2 linked regions of the Saccharomyces cerevisiae S288C genome follow. The protein of the gene in region 2 interacts with the protein of the main gene of each other region in a biochemical or structural test. Each region holds a gene or a part of one and is shown on either strand. Other genes may lie near its edges.

The links. The genes of interacting proteins can lie anywhere in the genome.
Region 1: the proteins of NMD5 (region 2) and RPF1 form a complex in vitro, tested with the Saccharomyces cerevisiae proteins (one study listed by BioGRID).

What each region holds. Positions count from the first base shown.
Region 1 is NC_001140.6:279,653-284,030, reverse strand, and holds RPF1 (rRNA-binding ribosome biosynthesis protein RPF1), read right to left. Parts: upstream 2,537-4,378; coding exon 1,649-2,536; downstream 1-1,648. Other genes in the region: histone acetyltransferase YNG2, read left to right, coding at 1-254; H/ACA snoRNP pseudouridylase subunit GAR1, read left to right, coding at 733-1,350; RTC3 (Rtc3p), read right to left, coding at 2,876-3,211; YHR086W-A (uncharacterized protein), read right to left, coding at 3,639-3,800; NAM8 (Nam8p), read right to left, coding at 4,307-4,378. UniProt on the Saccharomyces cerevisiae protein: Essential protein. Required for biogenesis of the 60S ribosomal subunit.
Region 2 is NC_001142.9:667,892-675,464, forward strand, and holds NMD5 (Nmd5p), read left to right. Parts: upstream 1-1,630; coding exon 1,631-4,777; downstream 4,778-7,573. Other genes in the region: MNS1 (mannosyl-oligosaccharide 1,2-alpha-mannosidase), read left to right, coding at 1-1,402; XPT1 (xanthine phosphoribosyltransferase), read left to right, coding at 5,100-5,729; SGM1 (Sgm1p), read right to left, coding at 5,838-7,573. UniProt on the Saccharomyces cerevisiae protein: Active in protein import into the nucleus. Its major import substrate is transcription elongation factor TFIIS.

The sequences.
Region 1 (4,378 bases), on a different chromosome or scaffold from region 2:
AAGAATTCAAAAACAGTAGAAATGGTAAAGGCCAAAACGGTTCCCCTGAAAACGAGGAAGAGGACAAAACTTTATACTGCTTCTGTCAAAGAGTTTCGTTTGGAGAAATGGTTGCATGTGATGGACCCAACTGTAAATATGAATGGTTTCATTATGATTGTGTAAATTTAAAAGAACCTCCGAAAGGAACATGGTACTGTCCCGAATGTAAAATTGAGATGGAAAAAAACAAACTGAAAAGAAAACGTAACTGAACAAAAATACCTTTTTGAGACTGAATGACCTCATTTACACTAATAATATTCCATAAGCCAGAAACGGTGATTGCTATTCTGACAATGTGCTTTTCGAAAAGGAGAAGTAATTTCGAGACATCAGCTAGCAAGGACATATACGATTGACATTTTTGAATGTACTTTCAAATACTTGTGAATCAAACTAAGATATGATTCCTGCATATTCAGGTATATACTATATATTTTAATTTCATTAGCATATGTGTCATACGGTTTTTAAAACTTATGAGCAGGAAAAAGGTGTCACGTGATCAGATGGTCTTTTTTTCAAACTTTGACGTCGGAATTTTTTGTAGTGAAAAATTTTTCGAGATGAGGAAAGGAAGAAAAAATTAATTTGTTAGCCTTATAACGTGAGCACCTTTTCGATAGAGTATCTGATTGCTCTCTTCTACCAAAAGATCACCTGAGGATAATTTTTAACCAAAAGAAAATAATGAGTTTCAGAGGAGGTAATAGAGGTGGCCGTGGCGGCTTCCGTGGCGGCTTTCGTGGTGGACGTACAGGCAGTGCTAGATCATTTCAACAAGGACCACCAGACACTGTTCTAGAAATGGGAGCTTTTCTACATCCATGTGAGGGTGATATTGTTTGCCGTTCTATCAACACTAAGATTCCATATTTCAATGCGCCAATATATTTGGAAAACAAGACTCAAGTCGGTAAAGTTGACGAAATATTGGGTCCATTAAACGAAGTATTTTTCACTATCAAGTGTGGTGACGGTGTCCAAGCAACCAGTTTTAAAGAAGGTGATAAATTCTACATTGCCGCTGACAAACTATTGCCTATTGAAAGATTTTTACCTAAGCCTAAGGTGGTAGGCCCACCAAAACCAAAAAACAAGAAGAAGAGAAGTGGTGCCCCAGGTGGCCGTGGTGGTGCTTCAATGGGTCGCGGTGGTAGCAGAGGAGGTTTCAGAGGAGGCCGTGGTGGTAGTTCTTTCAGAGGAGGCCGTGGTGGCAGTTCTTTCAGAGGTGGATCTCGTGGCGGATCATTTAGAGGAGGATCTCGTGGCGGATCTCGTGGTGGTTTCAGAGGAGGTAGAAGATAATCTAGCTAGAAAAAAATAAAAAAAAAAACCATCCTTTATCTTTCACAATTCTTCATTTCTTCCAACTTACTATATCTGCCGAAGCACGTCTAACGTCGAAAAAAAAAAAAAGAAATTACCGTTTGTTCTGTATACTATATATATATATATTTGTTTGATTGATTTACCTGTAATAAATTGATTTAAAATGAAAAAAAGAGAAATTCAGTAATACCAGAAGCCGCCGTAGTTAAACAAACGACCACGGTTCTTACGGTTGTCTTAATATTATATCCATACAAAGTTTACGAATGGAACACTATAAATAAAACTTTTTCTTTTCTTTGTCCATCTCAGGTTTATGCTCCCATTCAGTTTCTTCCTTAATACCCCTTTGCAATCTTTTCAACTTGAGGGTAAATTGTGGACCCAGTTCTTGCAAACCAACCCTTTCATTATCTTTGAAGACATACCGATGCCTTCTGAAGAAAATGTAATCTCTTTGATTATGTAGGGTGATAACTTGTCGACCTTCAATATCAGGATTCTGAGGTAAAATGGACTGAAACAACCTACCTACTGTTTGACCCAATCTGGTCTGGAAATTATTTAGAATCAATTCTGGAATATGGCTAGTTGGTCTACCATGACCGACAATTTTCTTCACTTCAACAAATGATGATAATTTAAAATAAAAAGTTGGGCCCTCTGGCAGATGTATGAATGTTAGGCCAGTAACCTTTTTCTTGTCCTCGTTGATTATCACGATGTCAGTGAAATTCCTTTTTATACAAATATCAGATATTTCCTTCAATTTGTAGCCAAATTTTCTTTTCACAAATGTGACGTTTGGTAAAATTTCGATTAAAATGTTAGCAAATTCATAAGCGCTCTTCTTAGCGTTTACATTTGTGGTCAGAAAGATCTTTGGTGGCTCATTAGAATTGCTGTTGAAGTATCTCATCAAATCGTCTTCATCTCCCTCCACTTCCTTGTTAATGGTCTCATCGTACACTCTAGTGTTCTCTATCGTCTGTGTTACGTTCTCTTTTAATCTCTGCTCCCGCAGCTCCGGATTCTCTCTCTCTTCCTTAGCTCTCTTTCTTCTCATGGTATGGCGCTCTTTATTTTTTTCATGTTTTATATCAGCAAAAATTTCTTGCCTCTTTAGCTTGTTTGTGATGTTTATCTCATTACCGAGAGCCATTTTTTAGTATTTCAATATATTAAGCCTGCTTTACCTCTTCCTTAGGTGTTCAATCGTAAAGTATAGCTTATGGCATCGCATTTCTTTTTACATCTCATCGCTAAAAATTTTACTTTTCCTTTGTATAAATAATCATGTGTGACGAACGCGAAAATGAAAAATGCACTGAATTAAATGTATACAACGTTATATAGATCGTAAATATGTATATTGAAATATACACCTTTTTGTTCTTTCTACTACTGTAAAAGAAGAATGCATGCGTTATGACAGGGCAGCACGCCAATTTAACTTATTGCATATTTCAATGCAGGCTGTCCAGACAGAAGGAAAAGCTACTCAATTGTAGGCTTTGGTTCCGGCGTTACCCCCTTTGGTTTTGAGACTAGAGGTGGTAGAGTTTGGCTTACCATTTCTCAATATCAAATCGATAACTTCTTCGATCTTCTTGCCCTTACCGAACTCATTTTCCACTTGGGCCTTGGAGGCAGCGCCCAACTCACCCTCGGCACCCCTACCGTCCTGAGGAGTGAAAACTTCGAAGAGTTCGACAACTTCAGATAGCTTACCAATTGATGGATTTTTCAAATATTCGTCTACAAGCTCTTCGGATGCAGCGAAGACAATCAAATCTGTATTTTCACCCTTGTAAAAGTATTTGGTTACAGTAGACATGTTGATTTTATTTTGTGTATGCGATGGTTTTCTTATTTTTATCAGCTTGTTCAAAGTATGAATTTGTTGATAGCTGCTTTTTTATTAGTCAAGAATTGAGTTTAAAGAACATTGGCTTGTGATCATCATCGAAATTGATTCTCATCACTTAAATATCTTTTGCTCCCTGTTTCTGGCGATCCCTTCGACTAAATAAGGGGTCGTTGTTGTTACGTACGGCCCAACAGGGTAGTGCCTGCTCTAGCGTCGAAGTTAGAGGAAAAGAAGCTTAGAGAATAAAAACATTTACTAGTAGTAAGGGGTCTTATTGTCAGAAAGGGACAATTGCGTGGGCAGTATTTTCAAAGAGTGGCTTTCTTCTTCTGAACGGAGTTTCAACCTGCGCTTTCTTTTCCTCCTGCTAGGATTTATTTGTGAGAAAACGAAACTAGCTATAGAAACGCGTAGCACCGGCAGGCCGAAAACCGCTACTACGTAAAGGGGAATGAAAATGGGCCAAATTTGGTGTAAAGATATAGGAGAAGAGACACGGAGTAGGAATTCGCCGTGCCCCTATACAGAGACAACATGAATAGAGAGACAAACGCATTACGTAGTCTTGGAAGATAGCGCAACGGGAAATCTTGACACAGTAAGAAACATTTACAGTATAATAATACTAAAAATAAAATTAAGATACATCAATATAAAATTTTCGACAAATACAGAAAAGAACAGAGAAGAAAAAATGAAGGTGACGCAAAAAAGGAATTGACAGGCCGTAATGAGTAGTGATGGAAAGAAGGTAAATGGAAGTAATAAAGGAAAATCATAAACATGCTTAAAAGCGTACAATCTTGAATTGAATTAAGAATAACAATAACCTTGAAAGAAATGAAAATCAAAAGGAAAAACGCAACTATAACGATACAAAAAAGACTTAATAAAAGGACATGGAATCTTGAAAACGATAAAAAGCAATGAAAAAAAGAAAATAAAGCGCTGTTATATCACCGTCAGCCTAAGACCAAATACAATTTAACACTGAAGTAAAGAAAATACCAAGAAAGAAAAAGGGCCAAAAGGAAAACAAACATTTTTATATACACGTGTGGCTCAAGCAAACATAAAACCATTACTGCCTTGTTCCAAACGGTTTAACATTGCATTAGTGCTGTTAACAACCGC
Region 2 (7,573 bases):
TATCGTAGATTCAGTGGATACCTTGATGTTAATGTATAACTCCTCCACACTATACAAAAGTGAGTTCGAGGCAGAAATTCAGAGATCGGAGCATTGGATAAACGATGTTTTGGATTTTGATATTGATGCCGAAGTGAATGTTTTTGAAACTACTATTAGAATGCTAGGTGGTTTATTATCCGCATATCATCTATCTGATGTTTTAGAAGTAGGTAATAAGACTGTCTACTTGAACAAAGCAATAGATTTGGGGGATAGGCTTGCTTTGGCGTTCTTATCCACTCAGACCGGAATTCCATACTCAAGTATAAACCTTCATAGTGGCCAAGCGGTTAAGAACCATGCAGATGGGGGGGCATCTTCTACCGCAGAATTCACTACGCTACAAATGGAATTCAAATATCTGGCGTATTTGACAGGAAATCGTACTTATTGGGAGCTGGTGGAGCGTGTTTACGAGCCATTATACAAAAATAACGATCTTCTAAATACCTACGATGGATTGGTTCCAATTTATACATTTCCAGATACTGGGAAGTTTGGTGCTTCGACTATCCGGTTCGGATCAAGAGGTGATTCTTTTTATGAGTATTTACTAAAACAATATTTATTGACGCACGAAACACTTTATTATGATCTGTACAGAAAATCCATGGAAGGTATGAAAAAGCATTTATTAGCACAATCCAAACCCTCTTCTCTGTGGTACATTGGGGAAAGAGAACAAGGTCTACATGGACAACTTTCTCCTAAGATGGACCACCTCGTGTGCTTTATGGGGGGATTGTTAGCATCAGGCTCTACTGAGGGCCTTTCTATTCATGAAGCCCGAAGACGTCCGTTTTTCTCTCTTTCCCTTGAAAGAAAAAGTGACTGGGATTTGGCTAAAGGGATAACTGACACATGTTATCAAATGTACAAGCAGTCTTCCTCGGGGCTTGCGCCTGAAATCGTTGTCTTCAATGATGGAAACATAAAACAGGATGGTTGGTGGCGGTCGTCTGTGGGTGATTTTTTTGTTAAACCACTCGATAGGCACAACCTACAAAGACCAGAAACGGTGGAATCGATTATGTTCATGTATCATTTATCTCATGATCACAAATATCGTGAATGGGGGGCGGAAATCGCAACTAGCTTCTTTGAAAATACCTGTGTTGATTGTAATGACCCAAAATTAAGGCGGTTCACCAGTTTAAGTGATTGTATCACGTTACCTACAAAGAAATCTAACAATATGGAAAGTTTCTGGTTGGCAGAGACTTTAAAGTATTTATATATATTGTTTTTAGACGAGTTTGATTTGACCAAAGTTGTTTTCAACACAGAAGCTCATCCTTTTCCAGTATTAGACGAAGAAATATTAAAATCGCAGTCTCTGACCACAGGTTGGTCGTTGTAGGTTAGTGTGCTATATAGTGGCCAGATTCGCCTTTTAAAATTCACTATGCGGTGTGATGATGTGCTATACCATTTTTTCCATGTTTAGGAAAATGAAAAATTTGCAATGCTTACTTCAGCAAAAAAGTATATTTGAATCAATATTCATTTATATATTTCAGCATAATCAATCATTTTTCGTCTGGATATTTGACACAATTTTGATTTTGACGAAGACATTTTATTCTCGATGGATATTACAGAATTGTTACAGTGCTTTGCCTGTACTTTGGACCATAACGCTGCCGTAAGAACTAATGCAGAAACACATCTTAAAAATGCAAGTAAAGTACCGGGATTCTTAGGCGCATGCCTGGATATCATTGCTGCTGATGAAGTACCAGAAAACATCAAATTATCAGCTTCCTTATATTTCAAGAATAAGATTACATACGGATGGTCTGCTGGTGCAAGACAGGGTTCAAATGAATTATTAGATTCACATGTTGATCCGGATGAAAAACCAGTAGTAAAAGATATGTTAATTAAAACAATGGTCAGTGTGTCCAAGACCTCCCCGCGTTGTATCAGAGTGCTAAAATCTGCCCTTACTGTAATTATTTCAGAAGATTACCCTAGCAAAAAATGGGGCAATTTGTTACCAAATTCCTTAGAATTACTCGCAAATGAAGACATCACAGTAACATATGTCGGACTTCTGTGTCTTGCTGAGATTTTTAGGACCTATAGGTGGAAGAATAATGATGAAAGACAGGACTTAGAAGAGTTGATTTTAAATTATTTCCCTGCTTTATTAAACTATGGCGCAAATGTCCTTTTCCAAGATGGTAAATATATGAATAACGAGCAAATTGGCGAATTGGTAAAATTAATCATTAAAATTTATAAGTTCGTTTCATACCATGACCTACCATTTACATTACAACGCTCAGAATCGTTTACCCCATGGGCATGTTTTTTTGTCAGCATCATTCAGCAGCCATTGCCTCAGGAAGTTTTGGCTATATCAGATATTGAGGTCAGAAGTAAAAATCCATGGGTCAAATGTAAGAAATGGGCTCTTGCAAACCTTTATAGACTTTTCCAGAGATACGCATCAACGTCATTAACAAGGAAGTTTCAGTACGATGAGTTTAAACAGATGTACTGTGAAGAGTTTTTGACTCAGTTTTTGCAAGTCGTCTTCGATCAAATCGAGAAATGGGGAACTGGACAGTTGTGGTTAAGTGACGAATGCTTATACTACATATTGAACTTTGTTGAGCAGTGTGTTGTGCAGAAAACAACTTGGAAACTTGTTGGGCCCCACTACAATGTAATACTTCAACATGTCATTTTCCCACTACTAAAGCCCACTGCAGAGACTTTGGAGGCCTTTGACAATGACCCTCAAGAATATATCAACCGGAATATGGACTTTTGGGATGTCGGCTATTCCCCAGATCTTGCCGCACTGGCTTTGCTAACGACATGCGTGACGAAACGCGGTAAAACGACCTTACAACCGACCTTAGAATTTATGGTCTCAACCTTACAAAGTGCCGTTGGTGATTACAACAATATTATGTTGGATAATGCCTTGCAAATTGAGTCCTGTTTGAGAATATTCTCCAGCATTATTGACCGTTTGATAACTAAAGATTCTCCATTTGCCAGTGAGATGGAAAAGTTTATATTGACATACGTTTTACCTTTTTTTAAGTCTCAGTATGGGTTTCTGCAAAGTCGTGTTTGCGATATTTGTTCGAAGTTGGGTTCTATGGATTTCAAAGACCCGGTAATAACCTCTACTATCTACGAAGGTGTTATGAATTGTCTGAATAACTCTTCTAATTCTTTACCTGTAGAATTGACAGCTGCATTGGCATTGCAAACTTTTATCAGTGATGACCAGTTTAATATGAAGTTATCCGAACACGTTGTTCCTACTATGCAGAAATTACTAAGTTTGTCTAATGATTTTGAATCTGATGTCATTTCAGGCGTTATGCAAGATTTTGTGGAGCAGTTTGCTGAGCAATTACAACCTTTTGGTGTTGAATTAATGAACACTTTGGTCCAACAGTTTTTGAAATTAGCTATTGATCTGCATGAAACATCCAATTTGGATCCAGATTCCTTCACGAACGTTGATAGCATACCCGATGAATCTGACAAGCAAATGGCGGCGCTAGGTATTTTGTCGACTACGATATCTATTCTGTTGTCTTTTGAGAATTCACCTGAAATTTTAAAAAACTTGGAACAGTCATTTTATCCAGCTGCAGAGTTTATTTTGAAAAACGACATCGAAGATTTCTATCGCGAATGTTGCGAATTTGTAGAGAACTCTACATTCCTACTAAGAGATATCACACCCATCAGCTGGAAAATTTTGGAGCTGATTGGAGAATGTAATAGAAAACCAGATAGTATGGTATCTTATTATTTAAGTGATTTCATGCTAGCCTTAAATAATATCCTCATTTATGGAAGGAACGAATTAAAGAAGAACGAGTTTTACACAAAAATCATATTCGAAATATATCAAAAGGCTGTTACTGCAGAAGATAATTCGTTAGACGATCTTAGAGTGGTTTTTGATTTATCCCAAGAGTTGGTTCTTGCATTAGATGACAGTTTACCTCAACAATACAGAGAGCGCCTACTGGCGGATGTTGTCGGCTCTATTCTAACGCAAAAGAATGAATTGAAAACTAATGTTGTATTTAGTGTGACTGCTTTTAATGTCGTAATCTCAAATATGATAACAGAGCCTTTGATCACGCTTCAGTACCTGAAACAGCAAGGTTGTCTTGAAATCTTCTTTCAAACGTGGATTACAGACTATATTCCGAATTATAAAAGGTGCTATGATATCAAATTATCAGTTCTTGCGTTATTAAAAATTATACTGAAGTTAGAAAGCAACGATTATTCAGTGTTGAACTTAGAAAATTTGGTTCCGCAATTAGGGAGTATTGTTACGCAGTTAGCTTCGAGGCTACCAACGGCGTTAAGGCAATTAGCTAACCAACGCAAGGAATTCTCATCATCCGGTTTTGAAGAGGATACTAAGTGGGATGAAAATTTTCTTGACGTTGGAGACGATGATGAAAATGATGACGAGGGAGACCTTACTGAGAAATATCTGGAACTGATAAAAAATAGAGCCGATTCCTTGGACTTCGTAGATGGTTATGACGCAAAGGAAACTTTCGATGACCTAGAAGAGGACCCATTAACGGGGTCGATCCTGGACACAGTTGACGTATACAAGGTTTTCAAGGAGTCCATTGCGAACTTACAACATGTTGACAGCAATAGATATCAGGGAATCTTGAGACATCTGACCCCGGCTGATCAAGAACTATTCATGGGAATTATGAATGCCTAATTGAATTAAATGGCGATTGTATATTGAAACAAACACTGGATTACATAATTTAGATAGAAGAGAGAGGATATTATGCTCAAAGTTTGTTGCCTTTGCCTCGGCCAGTTGACTTTGATTTGATATCAAGATCTTTTTTTTTTATCTGGAGTCAATGCGATGAACCTAAAAAAATCACAAGCTTTTTTTATCTCTAAGCTGGGGAAAGAATCGTAGTTAAATCGGAAAGAAAAATATCTGAGTTTTGTCAGTCTTTCTTTTGCATAGCCCATCCTTGTACTAGATTTCATAAACATTGATCACTTCAAAATATACTTGTACCAAGATGGCCGAAAATGAGAGAATGTACATCTCCTATAATAATATTCACAAGCTTTGTCAGGGAGTGGCTAAACATATCTTAGCTAGAAACGAAAGACCTGATATTATTATCGCCATCACTGGTGGTGGTATGATCCCCGCAAGAATTATTAGGTCCTTTTTGAAAACTAAAGGACAAAAGAATATTCCGATTCAGGCCATCGGCCTATCTTTGTATGAAGATTTAGGGTTGGATAATAGCGTCGAAACTATCGGCAAAGAGGTCATCAGAACACAATGGCTGGACTTCGGTGCTTTGAACCAACATTTCGATTCCTTAATTGGTAAAAAGGTCCTAATTGTGGATGAAGTTGACGATACTAGAACTACCCTCCACTATGCTGTTTCTGAGCTGGAAAAAGAGATTGCTGAACAACAAAAGGTTTTGAATAGAATGAGTGAGGAAACCGTTATTTCTATCTTTGTTCTACATAATAAGGACAAACCAAAGAGAGCTGGACTACCTGACTCCATGATGAATTCTGGACGTTACATTGCTGCGCAAACTGTCCCTGATAAGTGGTTGTGCTATCCATGGGACGCTGAAGATATCGAAGAACATACCATGCTCGCTAAGGCTCAAGGTCATGACTGATGACAAACAGTATGTTGCGATGGGGTTGCATGTATATAGATACATATAGTTATCATTGGTAATTATTTCATATTTAACCTAAATCTAAAGATAAGAGTGTATTTCTAGTTATCTCATTTTTCCTTGCATTTCTACCATTTGTTGAACTTGTTGATGCATCATCTCTTTTAAATCGGACACATCATTTTCTAATTCCTCCACTTGTTCAGTCTTTTCACCTAATAGTTGTAAGGAGGTTTCCAATTTACTTTGCATCTGCTCAACTCTTTTTAAGAGATCATCTTTCTGTTTATTTACCTCATTGAATTTATCGTTTTCTTCCAGAAGTCTTAAAATCTCATCATTTGCTTTTGTCTTTTCTTTCAGTAAATTATCGTATAATTCCTTTGATGCTGATAATTCACCTTCCAATCTTTTTAACTCCGTACTTAACTTGTTCACCAGATGAGCGCTTATGTGGCCGTTAGAATTCGATAGCTGGACGCTAGCTCTTCTGTATGGTATTGATGTGTTGTTTAACGAGTTCATTGATTCCCCTTCCCTGATTGCTTGTAAAGCAGCGGCCTCTTCTGGAATATCGTCAATGCTGAAATCCACATTTTTTCTATCAAAATGTTGGCTTTCTTCGCTACATATGGTTTCGTGAGATTCATTGTAAATGGGTTTTAGAGACGGATCGCTTTCTAATTCGCCAAGTTTTGACATTGATAATGACAGCATAGAATTTTCTTGAGGTAAAGTCCATTCGTCTTCTATATTTCCCTCCATGGAGTTTAAACTATCTGTTAATTCTACAGGTATTTTATCTATAATTTTCTCATTGCTGTTTTCTTGATGTGGTTTTAGTTCGTTCTCTTTTTGTTCCAACTGAGACCTTTGAATTTCGTACTTCTTCTTCAGTAGATTATAATCATCACTTATACTTTGCAATGATGACTTCAATGTCTCCGCCCGTCTCTCCAAGTCTTTCACTTCCAAAACTGCCTTCGAATGATTCTCTTTTTCTTTTTCTAATTGCTTACCTAATGTTTCAGATGAACGTAAGGCAGTTTGATATTTTTCTTCAATATCATTTTTTTCTTTCATTGTAGATTCAAAGCGGTTTTCCAAGTTCACAATTTTAGTGTTCAAAGCGTATTCAATACTATCCCAGTTGGCCTTTGATGACTCAAGCTGTTCTTTGAGCCGATTGTATTGGAAAGATGCGTGTTGTTTTTCTTCATAACTTTGTTGGTCATCGACAAAATCTCTATTTGATTTAGCGTCTAAATTTTGAGTAGAGCTATCTAATTCTATTCTTAGTTGTTCTAGTTTAGTCTCTAGAGTGGTAACTTGATCAACTGTTGCTTCTTGTAGTGCTTTCTTTTCCGTTTGAAATTCACTTTTTTCTTTTTCAAGCAATGTTCTCATATTATCTAAAGATTGCTGTAAAATTGTTATCAAATCATCTTTTTCTTTTATATTTTTCTCTAATGTTTCAAGTGACTCTTTTTGTTTATCTGCATCCTTTAATTTATTTGTAGCTTCAGCCAGTTGTCCTTGTATGTTGTGATACAATGATTGCAGCTCATTATAGTTTTCGACACTCTGAGCAGAACTATCGTTTAGTTCAGATACCTCATACTCTAAGTCTTTCACTTTTGTTCTTAAAGCTTTGATTTGATTTGATTGCCTCAGCTCAGTTTCCGCTAATTTAGCTCCTTCTTTTCTCAACTGATCTATCAAGTCGTCCTTCTCTTTAATCAATTTGAAAAAACTAGAATCCGTGGTTTCGATTTGTGATTTTCTGTTTAGTTCGTTAGTTAGGTCATCAATCTGTTTGTTTAATCTTAAATATTCAGGAC